Saccharomyces cerevisiae S288C: one gene and its partners. The main gene of each other region encodes a partner of the protein of the gene in region 3 in a complex. Each region holds a gene or a part of one and is shown on either strand. Other genes may lie near its edges. The genes, in order: PSE1, MSN5 and PHO4. A codon is read from its position in the direction of its gene.

What was found.
Region 1: the proteins of PHO4 (region 3) and PSE1 are in contact, whole or in part, in a crystal structure (PDB 3W3X), measured with the Saccharomyces cerevisiae proteins. Residues at the interface, in NP_116692.1 of Saccharomyces cerevisiae: Ala141 (codon at 3,382), Asn142 (codon at 3,379), Lys143 (codon at 3,376), Val144 (codon at 3,373), Thr145 (codon at 3,370), Lys146 (codon at 3,367), Asn147 (codon at 3,364), Lys148 (codon at 3,361), Ser149 (codon at 3,358), Asn150 (codon at 3,355); in NP_014039.1 of Saccharomyces cerevisiae: Glu287 (codon at 2,912), Asp336 (codon at 2,765), Asp338 (codon at 2,759), Asp346 (codon at 2,735), Gln350 (codon at 2,723), Asp353 (codon at 2,714), Arg354 (codon at 2,711), Leu357 (codon at 2,702), Ser392 (codon at 2,597), Ser393 (codon at 2,594), Glu396 (codon at 2,585), Asn430 (codon at 2,483), Gly433 (codon at 2,474), Gln434 (codon at 2,471), Asp438 (codon at 2,459), His470 (codon at 2,363), Ala473 (codon at 2,354), Ala474 (codon at 2,351), Val476 (codon at 2,345), Asn477 (codon at 2,342), Glu480 (codon at 2,333), Gln512 (codon at 2,237), Thr515 (codon at 2,228), Lys556 (codon at 2,105).
Region 2: the proteins of PHO4 (region 3) and MSN5 are in contact, whole or in part, in a cryo-EM structure (PDB 9D45), measured with the Saccharomyces cerevisiae proteins. Residues at the interface, in NP_116692.1 of Saccharomyces cerevisiae: Leu112 (codon at 3,469), Tyr113 (codon at 3,466), Ser114 (codon at 3,463), Pro115 (codon at 3,460), Leu116 (codon at 3,457), Ile117 (codon at 3,454), His118 (codon at 3,451), Thr119 (codon at 3,448), Gln120 (codon at 3,445), Ala122 (codon at 3,439), Val123 (codon at 3,436), Pro124 (codon at 3,433), Val125 (codon at 3,430), Thr126 (codon at 3,427), Ile127 (codon at 3,424), Ser128 (codon at 3,421), Leu131 (codon at 3,412), Val132 (codon at 3,409), Ala133 (codon at 3,406), Thr134 (codon at 3,403); in NP_010622.1 of Saccharomyces cerevisiae: Arg393 (codon at 2,999), Asp395 (codon at 2,993), Arg458 (codon at 2,804), Leu459 (codon at 2,801), Asn516 (codon at 2,630), Ile519 (codon at 2,621), Arg520 (codon at 2,618), Ile523 (codon at 2,609), Trp524 (codon at 2,606), Pro526 (codon at 2,600), Ala568 (codon at 2,474), Leu569 (codon at 2,471), Thr572 (codon at 2,462), Ile618 (codon at 2,324), Arg622 (codon at 2,312), Leu625 (codon at 2,303), Leu626 (codon at 2,300), His652 (codon at 2,222), Lys667 (codon at 2,177), Arg754 (codon at 1,916), Arg757 (codon at 1,907), Met758 (codon at 1,904), His761 (codon at 1,895), Tyr762 (codon at 1,892), Gln765 (codon at 1,883), His859 (codon at 1,601), Tyr863 (codon at 1,589), Glu866 (codon at 1,580), Tyr867 (codon at 1,577), Leu870 (codon at 1,568).

The regions. Positions count from the first base shown.
Region 1 is NC_001145.3:888,452-893,880, forward strand, and holds PSE1 (importin PSE1), read right to left. Parts: upstream 3,771-5,429; coding exon 501-3,770; downstream 1-500. Other genes in the region: 1,3-beta-glucanosyltransferase GAS1, read left to right, coding at 1-231; NIP1 (translation initiation factor eIF3 core subunit c), read right to left, coding at 4,537-5,429. UniProt on the Saccharomyces cerevisiae protein: Functions in nuclear protein import as nuclear transport receptor. Serves as receptor for classical and arginine/glycine-rich nuclear localization signals (cNLS and rg-NLS) in cargo substrates.
Region 2 is NC_001136.10:1,139,331-1,145,342, reverse strand, and holds MSN5 (karyopherin MSN5), read right to left. Parts: upstream 4,176-6,012; coding exon 501-4,175; downstream 1-500. Other genes in the region: translation initiation/elongation factor MRX8, read right to left, coding at 1-251; chromatin-remodeling protein SWR1, read right to left, coding at 4,867-6,012.
Region 3 is NC_001138.5:222,157-227,867, forward strand, and holds PHO4 (phosphate-sensing transcription factor PHO4), read right to left. Parts: upstream 3,803-5,711; coding exon 2,864-3,802; downstream 1-2,863. Other genes in the region: RRT5 (Rrt5p), read right to left, coding at 1-803; 60S ribosomal protein eL29 RPL29, read right to left, coding at 1,102-1,281; MIN10 (Min10p), read right to left, coding at 1,554-1,817; QCR6 (ubiquinol--cytochrome-c reductase subunit 6), read right to left, coding at 2,170-2,613; YFR035C (uncharacterized protein), read right to left, coding at 3,965-4,309; YFR035W-A (uncharacterized protein), read left to right, coding at 4,104-4,394; anaphase promoting complex subunit CDC26, read left to right, coding at 4,807-5,181; RSC8 (Rsc8p), read right to left, coding at 5,357-5,711. UniProt on the Saccharomyces cerevisiae protein: Transcriptional activator that regulates the expression of repressible phosphatase under phosphate starvation conditions. Binds to the upstream activating sequence (UAS) of several phosphatase encoding PHO genes.

The DNA of each region.
Region 1 (5,429 bases), on a different chromosome or scaffold from region 3:
GGTTCCGGAACTGAATCCAGTACTGCCTCTTCTAACGCTTCGGGGTCTTCTTCCAAGTCTAACTCCGGCTCTTCTGGTTCTTCCAGTTCTTCTTCTTCTTCTTCAGCTTCATCTTCATCTTCTAGCAAGAAGAATGCTGCCACCAACGTTAAAGCTAACTTAGCACAAGTGGTCTTTACCTCCATCATTTCCTTATCCATTGCCGCTGGTGTCGGTTTTGCTTTGGTTTAAAAAGCTTCGACACATACATAATAACTCGATAAGGTATGGTATCTTATTTCATTGTGGGGTAGTTTTTACGAAAAAAATGAAAAGTTGTAAGTATAGTATATATTTTTTTTCTATGTAAGTTTTATAAGATTCTATTCGCTATTACCACCGGTAAATTAAAAAGAACACTATTGTTACATTATATGTTTTTAAATCATCAAAAAAGACAATATTCATTTAATATTCCTTATAGAACTACTTAACATTGTTCTTCTTTCTATTAAACGTCTTTATGCAAACCATTTATGTACTTTCTCCATAATATCAGCTGGATATCTATTGAAAATTGCCATAGCATCACTAGAAGGCAAAAATCCCAACAACTTTTTAACTGAACTTATCACCGTTTGGCCTTCCCTTTCGGTCAAACTTCTCTCATTCAAGGCTTGTATGACTGAATCAACTACAGCGGAGATATTAGATTGAGCACACACAATTGGCGAATTATTTTCAATCAATTGACTCAAAAATTGATAGTTGAATGAGGCAGCTTCTTTGTCAGTTATTGTTGGTAACGTTTTGAACCAATTAGCCGTGTACGTGTCTACGTTAGGAATGTTGGAATTGTATGCATAAAGAATTTTGGCGATGGCTGCACTGGCATTCTCTGTTGAAGAACGATTTTCTTCCAGTTTGGAGCCTGGAAAATCGACAATCTGAACAAGTGTATCTAAAGTCGGTATGCAAACGTCAGCATATGTAGATGGAGCGTATTGGGCACAAACACCGATTATATAAGAAGCAGCTTGGCGAATACGAGCGTCAGGAGAAATCAAGCACTCGGTAACCTTTGGAATAAATGCGTTCTTCATGCTAGCAGTTTGTTCGCCACCATATTGAATCAAGTCACCAATCACTACTAATGCAAAAATGACTAAAATTGGTTCATTATCTAAAAGGAATGTGTTTATCATAGGCCATATATTCTCCAAATTCTTTAGATAATGACCATTTGTGGTTTTCAAAACGGCCGCGATAGACTTGTTGATTTCATCGAGAAGATCTTCGTCAGTAAAGTCTTCCTCTTCATCAATATTTTCATTATATTCATCACCATCACCATGGCGATCCTGCATCCTTTCGTAAGTGTCAGTTAAGTTGGCGGAGACACCCTTAGTAAATGCCGCTAATTGGTCTTCGCTTAAGCAATTGTCACCCATGACTTTAATACCATTCACTAACGAGTTGTGATAAACTTGCGTGATTTCTGGCATTGGTTCTGACATTAAGCCTCCGATTAGTTTAGACGAAGCTTTATGCCACAACAATACCAATTCCTCGTTTTGAGTACCGGTGGCTGCAAGTAAACAAGATAATAGAATAGGAATTAAAGTTGCTCCTGCAGCACGAACACCGTCATGTAGGTAAAAGTCAAGCGATGGTAGAGCTATTTCTTCCATTACTTCTTTAACATATACAGCAAATTGGCCTCTTAAAAGTGTCGCATAGCTTTGTAATAGCTCCATTGCTGATACTTTATCGTCAAGGACGGATGTGTGAATAGCAATGTGTTTTCCCTGAACTTGAACAACATCCCAATCTGGATATTGTTGGAAATTTGCTGCTTCTTCTTCTTCAATTAAACCGACGTCTTGCGTTGCTTTGGCAGTAATTAGCAGGGGTGGTATAACAATCGGTAACAACGGAACAAAATCATCACCCAGAATTCGGCAAATCCTGCTCCAACTTTGTTCTAAGTATGATCTGAGCGCATCATCTTCATCGATATCTGAGTTTTGTAAAGCGACCAATATAGAAATCAGCTCTTGAGAGTGCTCATGAAATTTTTCCTTACCAACGGCAAAACCAATCAGAGTTGCACATTCCATACATTTACCTTTCAAAACACTATTATCTTTATTGTTAACCTTCAAAACATTTAATAATAATGGCATTAGAGTATCGTAATACTTGATAAATTTATTCTTTGCAGCTTCAGCAATAAATGCAATGGTTGTTAGGGCCTGTTCCTGTACGTAAAGTTTGTTGCTTTGTAATAAAACTAATAAATTTGTCAATAGACTATCCAAGTAAGGCTCAAGAATATCCTTCGAAGCGAATTCAGAAAAGTTAACCAGAGCCGCTGCGGCGTGCGTTTGAACTCTTGAGGTGCATTCTGACGTTAGTTTAGATATTAAAGCCGGCAAAATTCTATCGTGTGCAGTTCTTTGAATGAATGGTGAAAAATCAGTAGATATTTGACCCAAAACATTACAACATCCATACTGTACTCTTGGATGAGGATCGTTGATGAGGGGAATTACCATATCCAGGATTTTTGGGATCTCGCCGATCAGAACATCAGCACAACCCTCAGCTGCAGAGGAAAGTGCCATCATGGCCGCGAATCTTTCTCTCCATTCGGTTGATGTGATCATTTGCTGTAAATATTGGAACAATGGTGCAGCCAAATATTCACCACCCAGCTTTAAAGCAACACGATCAAGAGCTTGACGAGCGTGGTCATATGTAACTTCCTCTTCATCATCGGTATCGTCAGATTCTATCCATTCTGCTGCATCATCATCATCTATGGATACCTCCGTCATCATGATTAAAGTAACCATCACTAAAGTTTGCCCGTAATTCTGGTTCGATTTACACATTTGGGGAGCGTTCTCGCTGAAAACGGTTAGCAGTTCGAGTGCTGTGGTTCTTGCTGGAGGTTCTAAATCCTTATTTTTTATAACCATATCAGTGAATTGTATTATTTGGTCAAACATATCCTTGAATAGTTTTGGTGCCAATTCCACCAACTCAATTAACGATTCAAAAACTGATGCAAGGGCATCGTCCTTACCATCATCTAAAAATCTTGGTAAACTATTCAAAAGACTTGGTAATAAAATACCTAACTTGGACCACTCAGATTTTGGTAGTTGCTTAAAATAACCCACGAAAGCCGTAACTGCAGCAATTTTGACATTATCACTTGCATCAGTAAAGCCTGATTGAAAAATTGGTAAGATACTGTTGATGTCAACAGCGGTAATTAAATAAGGTACAGTCGTCAAAATTCTAAAACTGGATTCTCTAAAATTTGGGTTACCGCTTTTTAAAGACTCTATTAAAGCTTGTAGTAATTCTGGCCATGCTGGTAAGTCGTCTTGAACACACTCAGCAATAGCATCAGATAGTTTGTGCCTAATTGAATCAGCTCTTTCCGACAAAAACCCTTTTAACAATGAAGAACGAATTTGTGCAAGAACTTCTTTCCTAATATGTGTGATATTTTTGGACATAATCATAAGCTTCGAAGAAGGGGGAGCTTTTAATGCTAATTTTCTAAACAGAACAGCAGATAATGCTGCAACTGTTGTATCTTGGGAGAAAGCGGCTTGTTCAGCCAAAAAAGTTAAAAGATACTCAATATTGTTTTCGGTAATCCATTCTTCACTAAGAGCCTTCTCAGCTACAGAACGTATTTGATTGTCAGGGGAAGCAAACGCCTGGACAATCTGAAGTAATGTTCTATTAACTTCTTCCGGTAAAGCAGACATAGCGATGGCTCTAGTTACGGTTGAAATCACGTGTCGTTAGGATAAAGTGGCTTGCAAGCTAATTACTTTTGTTTGGGCTATCTGCCACTTTGATCTACTCAGTCTATTAGCCACTCGGTATCTGAAGAGCGCCGAACTTCGATCACTGTTATAGCTGTCTATAATACTATAGTGATTATTGGACCGTCTGGTATTAGTATTCCCATTTTTTTAGTGAATTTCATTTTTCTTTTTTTCCTGGGTAGAAAATGAAAAATTTTTCAGTTTCTGCAAAGAATTGATATCGTGCGTCATGATGATAATACCGATTTACTGCAGTTCGTACAATTTATTTTTTTTTTTAGAATGTCAAACAGATAGTCCATGATAGGCTATTGGATTATTTATCAACACTCATGATCCATATATTTTGAGATTATATTTGATGAAGAAATAAAGCGGCATATCATACTTTTCTTAAAGTTTAATAGTTTGTATTATATTATAAAGAGTGTTTACGTAACAAAAAAAACTATATATATATTTGCTTATGTGTAATGTACAGTGAAGACGATTAGATTCAAACCCTAAAACTAAAAATAAAGAGATCGCTAAAAGAATCGAAAAAAAAAAAGATGAGCAATATCAAGAATAAAAAGCAAAAGTGAATATGGTTTATACTCTCCTGCTTAGTTTCCTTCTATATTTTTTGGTTGCTGATGTTATTCTTCTATCTACAATGATTTTTTGTTAAGAATGCTTTCGAAGTAGTTTTTGATTTTATTGATCAACGACGATTTGATGGTGGGTTAAGACGTTCTTTAGCGATTTTATATTCTTTGTTCAATTTTACCATTGCTTCTTCCAATTTAGTAATTTCATCACCCTTTTCGACAACAAAGATGGTCTTCTCGTCGTTTAATTTGGCTGGGATTTCCAATTCTGCGATAACAGATTGCAAAACTTCAACCACCTTATTTTCTGGAAGATCAAATAATTCGGCTAGTTTAGCAACAGAAAAACTTGAATAGAACCTCTTGAAAGAAAAGAAATAAGTCTTCAAAGATTCAACTTGTACTCTTTCCGTTAAACTATTCAACACCGTTTCCATGTTTGGTAATAAAGCCCAAGATTTTATTTCTCTTAAGTATTTAACAGAGTCTCTCCAGTTACCTTTTTGCATTGATTTGGCAGCAAACAAGACATAATCTCTTAAAGTTTCTGGTGGACCTTGGAAACTTAACTTGTCGTAATGTTCTAAGGAACGACGAATGGATTTTGGAGAGTAAGGAATTCTCTTGACCTTAATACCGGAATAGAAGGCAGTCATTCTTGGAATTTCGATCAATAAGGAACATGTTAAGAAGACGACATCGATTAAATCGAGATTGATGTGTTGGTGATATGGCAAACATTGTCTAGCACGCTCATCAGCTGAAGCATTGTTACTAGAATTGAGAGATATTCTGTGTAGGGATTGTTGGCCCAAAATTTCTCTTAAGTGAGAACTTGACAGAAGATCATTCAAAATTTGATGACATTCTTCAATCAAACATAATTTAAAGGCGGATAGACCCAATTGAACAACAACCCTGTTGAATAAAATTTGTAGGGATGAATCGAATTGGTTGATATTTGTTTGAACTTGGGAAGTTAGTAACATATCTTTAGCAGTTTGGA
Region 2 (6,012 bases), on a different chromosome or scaffold from region 3:
TTAACCTTATTTATATCAGAGTTAGATGGCTTTTCGTAATGTATGTTAAAAACATCGTTTAGTTTTAGCCAATTCGGAAGCCTTTCTTTTGGCCTACTATTAAGTTTCTTTTTAAGAGCTGTCTTGGGAACTTTTTTTTTAGCTTTTTCAACAGATAATTGCGTGGCTAGCGTTGTTCTTTTAGTGTTAGCAACAATGTTTTGTATAAAAGCCGCCGGTGTATGCACGTACCTCTTACACAGTTGTTCCATTGCCAATGGTTTCCTATTTCGCTAAAATATTAGGGAATATGTGAAGAAAAAATCTTCAGAAATACCTTGTTCAGACCCACATTAAAACGCTTGATTATATGCATATTTACCGGCTGCCGACTTTCATTAAAAAAATTGCGAATACAGAATTTTTTTTTTCACAATAATTACAATTTTTAGCACGATTCAGATGTCTATTTGCTTTCTCTAATTTCATCTACACATCTACGTATATATGGCACCTTATTATCAGTTGTCATCAAAGAGATTACCCACAGCACCGTCTTCAATGTTCGGATCATCCAGCATGTCTCCGTTTTCTTTATTCTTCTTAATTAATCTCTCATTTGCCTTCTTGAGGATAGCTTCCCTTTTCTCTTGTCTTTTTCTCTCATCGCCTGCATGGTCCACATTACCATCTTCTTTCCCACTGGTGGATTTAACCCAATCTATAAAATCAATCATGAGTGCCCTTTGTGTTTTGTATTCGTCCACGCTCCTTAAATTTCTGTATAACTCATCAATATTATAACCATTAGATATCTCAAAAAGGAACGCTCTAGCAGAGGGATATTCTTTGCACAGAGTCAAAAAAATCACAGTGAAAGCATATAGTGCCTCATGGAAAGAATCCTTAAACGCACTATTACACAGCACATTTAGCAACAGATTTTTCATCACTTCAAATGTGAAATATTCATCCACCGTGTTGTTTTGATTAAGGACTGAGGTTAAGCAGCATTTCATTACTAGGATGGAGTTAAATGAACATTTTGTATCCTTGAAGGAAATTAAATGGTTCAAAAGTTTCAAAAATGGAGCAAGGGTGTTTAAATCATTAAATATAATTTTTCTCATCTCCATTTGATGGTTATTTAGCCTGCTTTTAGCACTGTTTGGATTGGCATTGCCTTGACCAACACAATCAATTACTATTCTAACAACAACTGTGGTTAGTTGTCTCAACAAATTCTCTTCCAAAATTTCTTCAGTCATTTGATCATCGTCAGTTGGAACTGGGTTCATGTCCATATCATTCATATGCGAGGACCATTTCTGACATAGCAGCAGGTCCAGGATTTCAAATAATTTAGGCAAAAATGCGGGCATGAATTTCCCCAGACAATCTTTTGGACAACCTTTTAATATAGGACGAATGGCTATATTCATTATGTGTTTCCATCCATGTGTTGAAACTCCAGGGCTTATCTCATTGCTACCTGGCTTAAATATGGCAATAGAGTTCAGTAGTAGGTCGGGCGATTCGTCCAAAAGGTAAAAAACACTACCAAGTGATGATATGGCACTTAAAACAAGTAGAGTGTATTCCCTTGTATACCTAATGATGTGTCCTACGGAGTCGGCGAAGTCTCGTAAGGTTTGCATCGCTTTCATATGTTCATCAATAAACTCATCCTTTGATTTATTTGAAGCTCCGGCCTCCCAAAATCTTTCAATAGTGGAATACTTGACGAAGGATTGCACAACCGTAGGTAATCCTTTCCAATTATCTGGATCGTGGTAGGATTGCAATTGGTACAGTAGTCTCGTGATGTAAGGTAATATTGGGACAATCCTAGGTCTCCACAGATCTTGTAGCATTTTGAATTCTTCATCTGTCTTTATACTTTGCATTGAATAATGAATGAACATTCTTGTTGCACGAACAGGAAACAAGCTTTGCCAACGTTTGGTCAATTCCGACTTCAGCTCTTTACCCTCATCATCAATTGGAATTGATAAAAGGTCACTATTTTCGTCGATATCACGCCTCTGGAAATATTCTGCGATCTGAACAATACCTAAGCGTTCCATAAACCAATGCAAATCAGAAAGACCAACAACTGTTGTTTTATCAGACCAGGCTAAAAGTTCTGGATCCACAATAGCCGCAAATCTTTCCTCTTTCATATCTAATGAAGACTTCAATACAATGATCAATAAGAAGGATTTGAAGGAAATTTTTTCATGGTAAGATAAGTTGGGCATGATTCTGGCAATGACACTTTCAAGGTCTGGGTATATTTTTTTCAGAGATTCGGGCATTAATAAAGCCATCCTATTCAACTCGATACCACAAGCATATCTCAAATCTCTAACTGCGTCTGATTCAGCGCCTCTCTCTTCCAAATTAATTTCTGGATAGTCCATCGTGGCGCTTGTTATGATTTTTTCTAAAAGTGTGAAAAGCACATTATCTTTTAACATTGTCAAAAAAAGTGCAAAATTTTGGATTTGTTTCTTCAATAACAATGGTTCTCTTAAATTTAATGCAATTAACTGGTTTGACAAAATTTCCAGTTTTTGTAATATGGAATCTAGTTTTTCGTCATAATCATCTCCTGTTGGATACCAGATCTTCCATCTTATACAACCATTGATGAAACATTCAACAATCATGTATTGGGAGAGGGCACCTAAATAAGGCTCTAATTTATGGTCCAAAAATGTGGAACTTAAGACCTGCTGACCAAATGGAGAGCTGAAATAATTGTTTAATCTGTTGTTCAACCAATCATAAGTAAGGTCTAATTCGACGCAAGAAATCAACCTAATGATGTCTCTTATTCTTTTCCTATAAGTGGAACAAAATGTTTGAAATTCGGACTTGGATTGAAAATCAATCTCCGCAAATTTTTTGGAAATATGACCATCAATCTGTTCATAATAGACTAAAGCATCCGCGGCAAACTGTAGTAGATCAGGAATGACATATTTCTCCAGCTTGGGTAAGTATTCATCGTTTCGAAGACAGGTACACCATAGGTCTAATGTTAATCCGCTAACGATTAAGCTTGGGTTATAAGTTGTCTTTAATACAAGCTTAAAATATTTTTGAATTTGGCCATTTGTCTCCTTAATCTTTGGGACACAAACATAGAGACAACTGATCATATCCACGAACTTTTTAATTATAGGATATTTCGTTTCATCTATATCATCTGTAGGATCAAACAACAAGCTTTCATAAACGCTATCTAATAAGTCCATATTATCAAAAACTCGATCTATGGTCATTTGGTAATGGCTTTCATTACTATAGGGACGGGTCAACAGAATATGTATCGAGTCTAATGCCATTGACTGCGCCCTTGGGATATTGCTGGATAAACAAGTCAATAAGGAGGATAACACGTCATTTCTTACAATGACCTCTGTTAATGGCCAGTTTAAACACGTCTTCAGAGTTTCTAAAAGCCTTATGATGTATTCAGAATTATTCTGTTGTAATGCATTATTCAACTCTGGAATCCAAACAGAAAACCAGCCCTCTTCATTAGCTTTAAATTTGGTCCATTTATCACTGAATTTGTATTTTATTGCGAAAACTTCAATAGGGCAAACAATCATTACACATAAGGGTTGAATAACCGTCATCCTTTTCAAAACAATTAGGTCGTCCAACAAGAAAACATCTTCAAAAAGGATTCTGAAAATTATTAATGCTAGTTCTCTTGACGATTGATTTATGTTCCAAAGTTCGAAAAGGTTATTGTCCATGTCCACCCAAGATGTGAGTAACTGTTCTTCCGTAGGGTTTGTCTGCTTAAGAGCCTCACCCCATGTTCTTTTTGCCACCTCTACCCATAAAGTGGCTAATTTTTCCTTAATATATCTGGTATCATAATCTTGCACCCCAAAATTAAGTTCCATGACCCATTTTCTCAGGGCCACTCTTTTCCCCTCGTCATAATCATTCCAGTTTTTCTTCACTGCATGGTCTAGTAATCCTAGTCCAAAGTATTTCAATATAGAATTAGTGGGGTTTTGCAATGCAATTTCGTAGCCCCAAAAGGGCGATTCTGAGCATAATTTCACTTCATCTAAAAATTTCTGAGCTTCTTGCCGTTGAGAATTGTTAGACTTGGGGGAGTAAATAACATCTAGTGCGCTAACAATCTGAGAAGCGCCTGTGGAATCCATTACTTTTCTTCCAATCAACGTTAGAAAAAAAATTTCAGATTCTAAAAATTCAAAAAGTGATTAAAAGGAAGAAAACAAAATATACTATAAATAATTTCAATAGTTTATCACAGTAACAATTGCTACACGAATGTAAAGAGTGAATATGGTTTTTAATGGCTAATGCAATGACACCTTACGTTCTCGCCTTGTTTATTTTTCTGTTTTGCTCTTCTTCCGATCTACAAAACTTGAACGGTTGCAACAAATAGGGGGATCTAATCAGGGTGTACTTAAAAGAACGGCTCTTCTACAGGCTCAACGAATAAAGATAGGCTAAAAACACACACGCTCGTCACTCCAGCACCTCTGTTCAATGGAATCTTGCTCTTAAAACTCTTTGACAAATATTACTACATCAAAAGCTTAGTACTCTTGAAGTCTCTTTGGAAAAACCAACCTTGATCGCGCAGCAATGTGGCAATGCCCCTCCGCTGTGGCGCGCCGCCATCACCCGGTAAATAGAAATTGGTGACCAAGGAACAATGCCATGGTGAGTACATTACCATAAAAACCAAGAGGCGATAGTGTTGTCGGAAATAATAATACAATTTGTTGATTCATTATGGCTATATATCATTAAAATATTCACAATAGGTATATAGTCCGATTTGGACAACTAAGGCAGCGGTGAAGAGTAGAACCTGGTCCTTCAATAATAATAACCGTTGGCAATAAACCTGATCATGTACTCGTCAACATGGGCAGTGCCCTCATACTCATCAAGTTCAGCATGATTTTCTTCCTCTTCATTAGCTGCTTTTTTTTCTGTGCTTTCGTCGAAATCGTCATTGTCAATTTCGACTTCTCTCATGGCTAAGTTTGCAGCTTTAACATCATCCTCATCTTCCGCTTGCGCAAGAAGTCTTTCCAGTTGTCTGGGATCTTTGGCTGCCACATCTGCATCTGCTATTAGTGGTTTATCTCCACCTGAAGCATTTTCGGGCAATTCGGATCCCAATAAATCTCTCACCGAAAGTTTGCTGAAATAATCTGTTGTGAAGTCACCCTCTTGAATAACAACATTATCCAATTGTCTTTTTTGGTTGGCTTTTTTTAAGATATTGCTTTCTATGGTATGTTCGCTGACAAATCTGTAAATATGCACATCTCGAGTCTGTCCAATTCTGTGACATCTATCTTGACACTGTTTGTCCATGGCTGGATTCCAATCTGAATCGTAAAAAATAACTGTATCTGCCCCAGTCAGATTGATACCTAGCCCTCCTGATCTACTTGATAGGATAAATACCGTTATTCTTGAGTCAGTGTTGAATCTCTCTGTTAGGATTTGACGGTCTTCGATCTTTGTGGCACCATCTAGTCTCATATACAAATAACCATGATAGTTTAAAAACTGTTCCAGAACGTCCAAAACTTTTGTCATTTGTGTGAAGATAAGTGCCCTATGTCCATTGTCCTTCAGCTGCTGTAATAAAATTGCTAACTTCTGCAATTTACCACAATCGTATTGAAGCAGCGATTTGTCCGGGAATGCGATTGTTAATTTGGTTTGCAGTTGGTGTAATGGGTTGGATACTTCAAAACAGTTCTGCATTACCTTTAGCCTTGTGTTTTCGCCTACCGAACTGTCATCATTTAATCCCAATGCCAACTTTCTCATATCTAGTGAGACGGCACTTGGGGTTAACACTGCAAAGGTATCTATGATCTTTCTATTATCCAATACCCTGGTTTGCAAGGGTTTTATTAGTTCATTATCAATAATGCTTGATTTATCATATTTAACCCTTCTATCTTTCGTTAATAGGTCAATAAGGTTCTTTCCGAATATGGG
Region 3 (5,711 bases):
GCATTGTCTTGCCCTTCCTGCACTTGCTCCGCTGGCTCTACTGGCGCTGGCGCTGGCGCTGGCTCTGCCAATGCTGCTGGAGGTGGGTCGCGCGCATTGGTTAAGTTGTCCTTGACCAATTGTTTAATTTCTTGAATCTTAGAGACGTAAGCGGGCTTCACTATTATCGATTTGCCCCTCAAAGTAGCTGTCTTGGCCACACTGTCACAAATGTCCCCAATTGGGGTTTCAGATTGCAAAGTGACCAAAGCGGCAGTAATTTGGTGTGGAGCAAAAGGAATACACTTTCTCCTGTACACCTTGGACCTGTAAATCCAGATTTCTTGAGGCGAGTAGAGCTGGAACAACTCACGGATCTCACTGTCGGTTATATCGTCTGGCAGGTCGTGACAGTAAACCGTATCCGCGGCAGTCTCTGGTGTCTTCTTAACCTTATTTTTTTCTTTGGGCTTCTTTACATCCGTGTCTGGAGTAGAGTCTGCCTCGTAAGGAACGTGTAACTTTAGAAATAGTTTCTGATTTTGGAAAACGGTTCCGTTCAAGTCTTGAATGGCCTTCAAAGCCAGAGTATTGTTTGCGAACTGGGCAAATGCTATGCCTAGTGGTTTGCGAGGGTTGCTATTGTGCCTTTTGCTGAATCTGCGGACGGTCTGCGTTGGAATCAACACTGAACTGGCGCCATAGTTGTTTAGGAAGGCATGTAGGTCTCGCTCACTCGCCGTGAATGGCAGGTTCGAAATGTAAACTGTGGTAATGGTAGTGGTAGTGTCACTGGTAGTGTCATTGTTAACTTGTTCTGTCATTGCGGGCTTGTTTGTATGCTTATGTGAGGCCTTATACTTCTCTATGTGTTGCTACTCAGTAGAAGGTCAACACCATTGTTTTATACATCATTTATCTTTTGTTATTAATTTGTGACGCTTCCATTTTGTGGCACATAAGGAGGAAAAAGAAAATTAAAAGAAAAAAAAAAAGAAATAAAAAAAGAAAACGGTACTGGATATTGAGATAAATTTTCCTTCAATTAAGATAATAAAACATGTTATATAAAATCAGACAAAATAATATGTAAATTTTTAACGTATTATAATCTTAAAAAGTTTATTTCTTGGCAGCAGCCAAAGCCTTAGCAGTGCCGTGTAGGGCATGCTTGTGGTTTCTTCTAAACTTTGGATCAACACCTTTCAAAGAAGGGTACTTGTAGGTCTTTGGCTTCTTGATACCGTTTCTGTGAGCCTTTCTGGTTTGGTTGTGAGCGGTATGGTTCTTAGACTTAGCCATTTTCTGGAGAAGACGATGAATGTACGCAGAAATTGCGAATGGTCATTAAAGGTTAGTAAAAATGATTCATAACGGTGGAGGGGAGTAGCGTGGCAGCTAACTGCCAATCTGAAGTGGTGCTAGCGGGGGCAACTTCGAACAAGGGTATGCTAAAGGTAATTGAACGTTCGAGAAAGAGCGTTCGCTATAAGTTCAAACACTGGTAACTTTCCATTATTTTCCCTTCTCTCTTTTTTTCTTTATATCCTCCACTATATGCCACTCAGCGCACCTCAGATTTGGCTACCTGCATTTCCAATGGGCGAAATGGGGACTTCATGATAATATAACGTACTTTCTAACTGTATTGTTGTTCCGGGGTTCTTGAATATTGAATGAAAAATGTTATAAAATAATGGGTTGAATCTTGAAATATGCAGTATTGAAATATTCTGAAATTGTATGTATCCAGAGATTATGGCAAAGCCTAAAGGGAAAATGGTAGACTTCCTACATTGAGAATATCGCTGGTTTTCCCGAGCGCGGCTAGCGACCATTTTTCTTTGTCCTTACAGAACTAAAAAAAAAAAACCAAAAAAAAGTCGAAAACAAGAATACATGCGCTGTATGGGTCTAAGAGTATGTACGGATGTAAAAGAAAACAGTACTAGACAGAGCGCATAAAAAAAGCCTAATCCCTTTTCCGTCTGTATACTTGTGCTCCCTTATAAAAAAAATTAAAAATTAAAAAATAAAAATAAGAATAGTGTATAAAATTATTTTTGCTTTGATTTTAGTTTATTTATTTACTTTCTAAATACAGTAGGTTAAATAAGGATCGGTTTCTTGAAGAAATTGTAACAAGACTCAGAATAAATATGAATATAGGGAATATGACGGATAAACAGACTACTTTAATTTGTCAAATAATCTAGGTGCCGTGGCAGTGTCCAAATAGTGCTGTAGATGGAAAAACTCCTCCACACAGTCCTCCTTGTGTTCAAGATCCGCGTAGCCGGGTTGTTGTTGCTGTATCTTGACTCTCTCAGCACACTCCTCGTAGTGGTGCACAAGGGCCTTACCCTCCTCCGTGTTCTTGAAATGTTCTCTCAAATCTTCCAACTGATCAGTGACTTCTTCCTCTTCTTCCTCATCTTCGTCGTCATCATCATCATCATCTTCGTCTTCGTCTTCATCCTCATCTTCATCCCCATTTTCTTCTTCTTTTTCTTCTCCTTCTGCTGCCTTTTCTTCATGCTGCTCGTTATCGTCATCTTCGGCCGCGGCCACAACAGGCACAACGGTTATCTTTAGTTGTTCCCAGTACTCACCAACTAGTTCCAACATGCCCATTTTCTATTTCTTTTTCTTTATCCGTGTGTGTAGGTGTAAGTGTATATGTGTGCTTCTGTTAATGTGAGTGCGTGTATACAATATGTGCAAATAAGCGCCAACCAATACTGCCCTTAAGACTGAGTAGGTCCTAATCTCGAAAACCCGGTGTGGGCCACTTTCCAGCAAAGCGCCTCTTATAACAAGCACCGCGCAGGGGAGGCGCGCCCCAGTCCGATATGCCCGGAACGTGCTTCCCATTGGTGCACGGTCACGTGCTCACGTTCTGCTGTAGGTGACGGATGTACCGGCAGGCCGCCTCCACGGTGGTCGCTTTGGACGGCGCGGCCGACACATTTTGCTGTTTCCACTCCGCGGGGATTAAAGACGCCAGTTCGTGCAGCGCGACCGCTAATCGATTACGCCGTGCTTGCTCTGCATGCTTGTGTGATTCGCGCTTGTCATCGTCCACGAGCGCGCCCGATGACCGTCGCTTACTCAGCGACCGCGAATGGCTCGATCCGTGCGGCGCGATTACAGGAGACTCACTTGCTACGACCACGCCTTCTGCGCTGCTGCTGGTCTTGGCCGTGACCGGTGATACGCGTCTTGTGCTGTTCGACGGCAGAATAACTTTCGGATATTGCTTTGGTTTCGGTTTCGGTTTCGGAGTTGGGATAACGCTGTCGGGCAATTCGAACAGCGAAGTGGCCGAATCCGGCCCGGGTTTACCTCTGCGCTTGTTCAAATACGGACTACTATTACTCTTGTTTTTAGTGACTTTGTTAGCGGATGTGGTGGAAGTAGCAGTAGCGACCAAGTTCGGCGAAATGGTTACGGGAACCGCACTTTGCGTGTGTATTAGCGGCGAATATAATAGCCGCGGCTTGATTGTAGCAGTTGTAGCTGGGGAGTGGTGCGCATGCGAGGGCATCATCCAGTCCATATCCATACCTTCCACCAGCTCAAAGGCGCGGTCTAGGTCGTCCAACGCGAGACTGTCTTGTTCATTTTCATTCTCGTTCCCATTCTCACTGCTGTTGTGGTTCTCTTGACTGTTCAGCTCGTCGTTTTGCTCGTTGAAGTCCTCGCGCCCATCATGCCGTTTCGTGTTTACGGTGATAAAGTCTCCGACTTTATCAAGAATGCTGCTCTTGGGCTCTAGATCGTCCACAAAACCGTGTATTCCCTCAGAAGTTGTACGGCCCATGACTTTCTGCTACTCTTGTTCTGTCTCCTTTGCTCATCTCTTCTCTTCTGGTCCTTCCGAAGCATGACTTCTTCCCTGGTTATATACATTTTTCTATGGTCAAGACTCATTTGCCAAATATTTCCGTGCGAGCGGCCGGGTCAGCCTTTCGCCTACCACATATTAGGCGAGGCAAAAAAAAAAAAAAATAGAAAACGAGAAAATCGCACTTGCAGCATAGGAAATACTTGCACACAGACATACACATACACACCGTACGCAAAGAAGGCAAGGCAGCAAGAAAAACTGTGGGAACGTAGAAATGAACGTACCTACGGCGCCAACTCCCAACAAACATTTGAACATACCTGATTTGAGGTTCGAGAAAGTGTTCAAGAAAGCTTTACACAGGGAATTGGCACCCTCATCGTCTCTCTCACGGAAGGCGGGTGTGATTACGAAAGTTGTGGTTCGCGATGTCCTGCTCATGCCCTTATTGCAGAGCTTTGTTTTGTCACTCGCGCTCATGGGTGTGAAGGAATGGTTGTCTTACATACGCTTGAAAGGACGAACCCTAGGTGACCGCATTAGACAGAGACTTTTTCCGATCTAAATAATGCATATAACCGTATCTTTTTTATATGAACCTAGTTTTGCTGTATAAGAGCCGAGAAAAAAATATAGGAAAATATAGGAAAATATGCAAAATAGAAACACGAATTTTTTTTTTGTTAGAGAAAAAAAGAGATAAGCCCTGTAGGGGGCTCGAACCCCTAACCTTATGATTAAGAGTCATACGCGCTACCGATTGCGCCAACAAGGCATTTTAATCTCTGGCTACTCGGCACTAAAAGATGCACCACATCCGATGTTTAGGCCGCACCATAATTTTTTCTTTTTCCTGTCTCTTTGTCCTTTCACATTGCACAAAAGTAGAGGAATAATGGATGGATCTAGGATGTACGTATATATGATATTAGCGGTCTGAAGAGAAAAAAAAAACAGCAACAATAACATCGCACTTGATGATCAGAAGGGCCCCTACCACCTTGCAGCTCAGTCACGACGACGTAACCTCTCTGATCGATGACCTGAACGAGCAGAAACTCAAGCAGCAGCTGAATATCGAGAAGACAAAATACTTCCAAGGAAAAAATGGCGGATCGCTGCACTCCAATACAGACTTTCAGGACACATCGCAGAATATCGAAGACAACAATAACGATAACGATAACGATATCGATGAAGATGACGACATGTCATCTTACAACGACAAAGCAGCCTCGGTAGCGCACACCAGAGTCCTCAATTCCTTGCATCTGTCCACCGACAGCAATACCGCCCACGAGACGTCCAATGCAAACGACAACCACAACCCCTTCTACATCCGCGAGGAATAATAGCATATCCGCATACGCACACGCACACGCACACGCGCACGCATCCACATTCACTTTCACTTATAAAATTTCTTCTCTCTAGTTTTATATACGTTGTATTAGAAATATAAAATATGACAATAGTACACTTTGTAGGCTCTCTTTTTTTTTTTTTTTTTTTTTCTTATATATTTTTTTACAATGACCACGGTTTGTACACCTGGGGCTGCAATTTTGCAATGGAGTCGCCTTCGCCTACTTCCTCGCCTTCCTTGCCTACACGTTTCACGCCATGTCCTGTGGCCGTATTGCCGTCTTCGTCATCGCCCTCCTGGTCCTTCTCCACTAGTTGTATGCCCGAGTCTACTTGCTCCGAGATCAGTACCAGTTTCTTCGACACATTCAACTCCTCCAGCGACTTGTTCAGGTCAAGAATCTGTTTACTCAGTGATAATCGGTCGTTCAGCATCTTTTCAGATTCCTTCACATATTTCAGTTTTTCCATCTCCAGTTGCGTTTCTAGATCGCACAGCTTTGTAAACTTGCTCTCT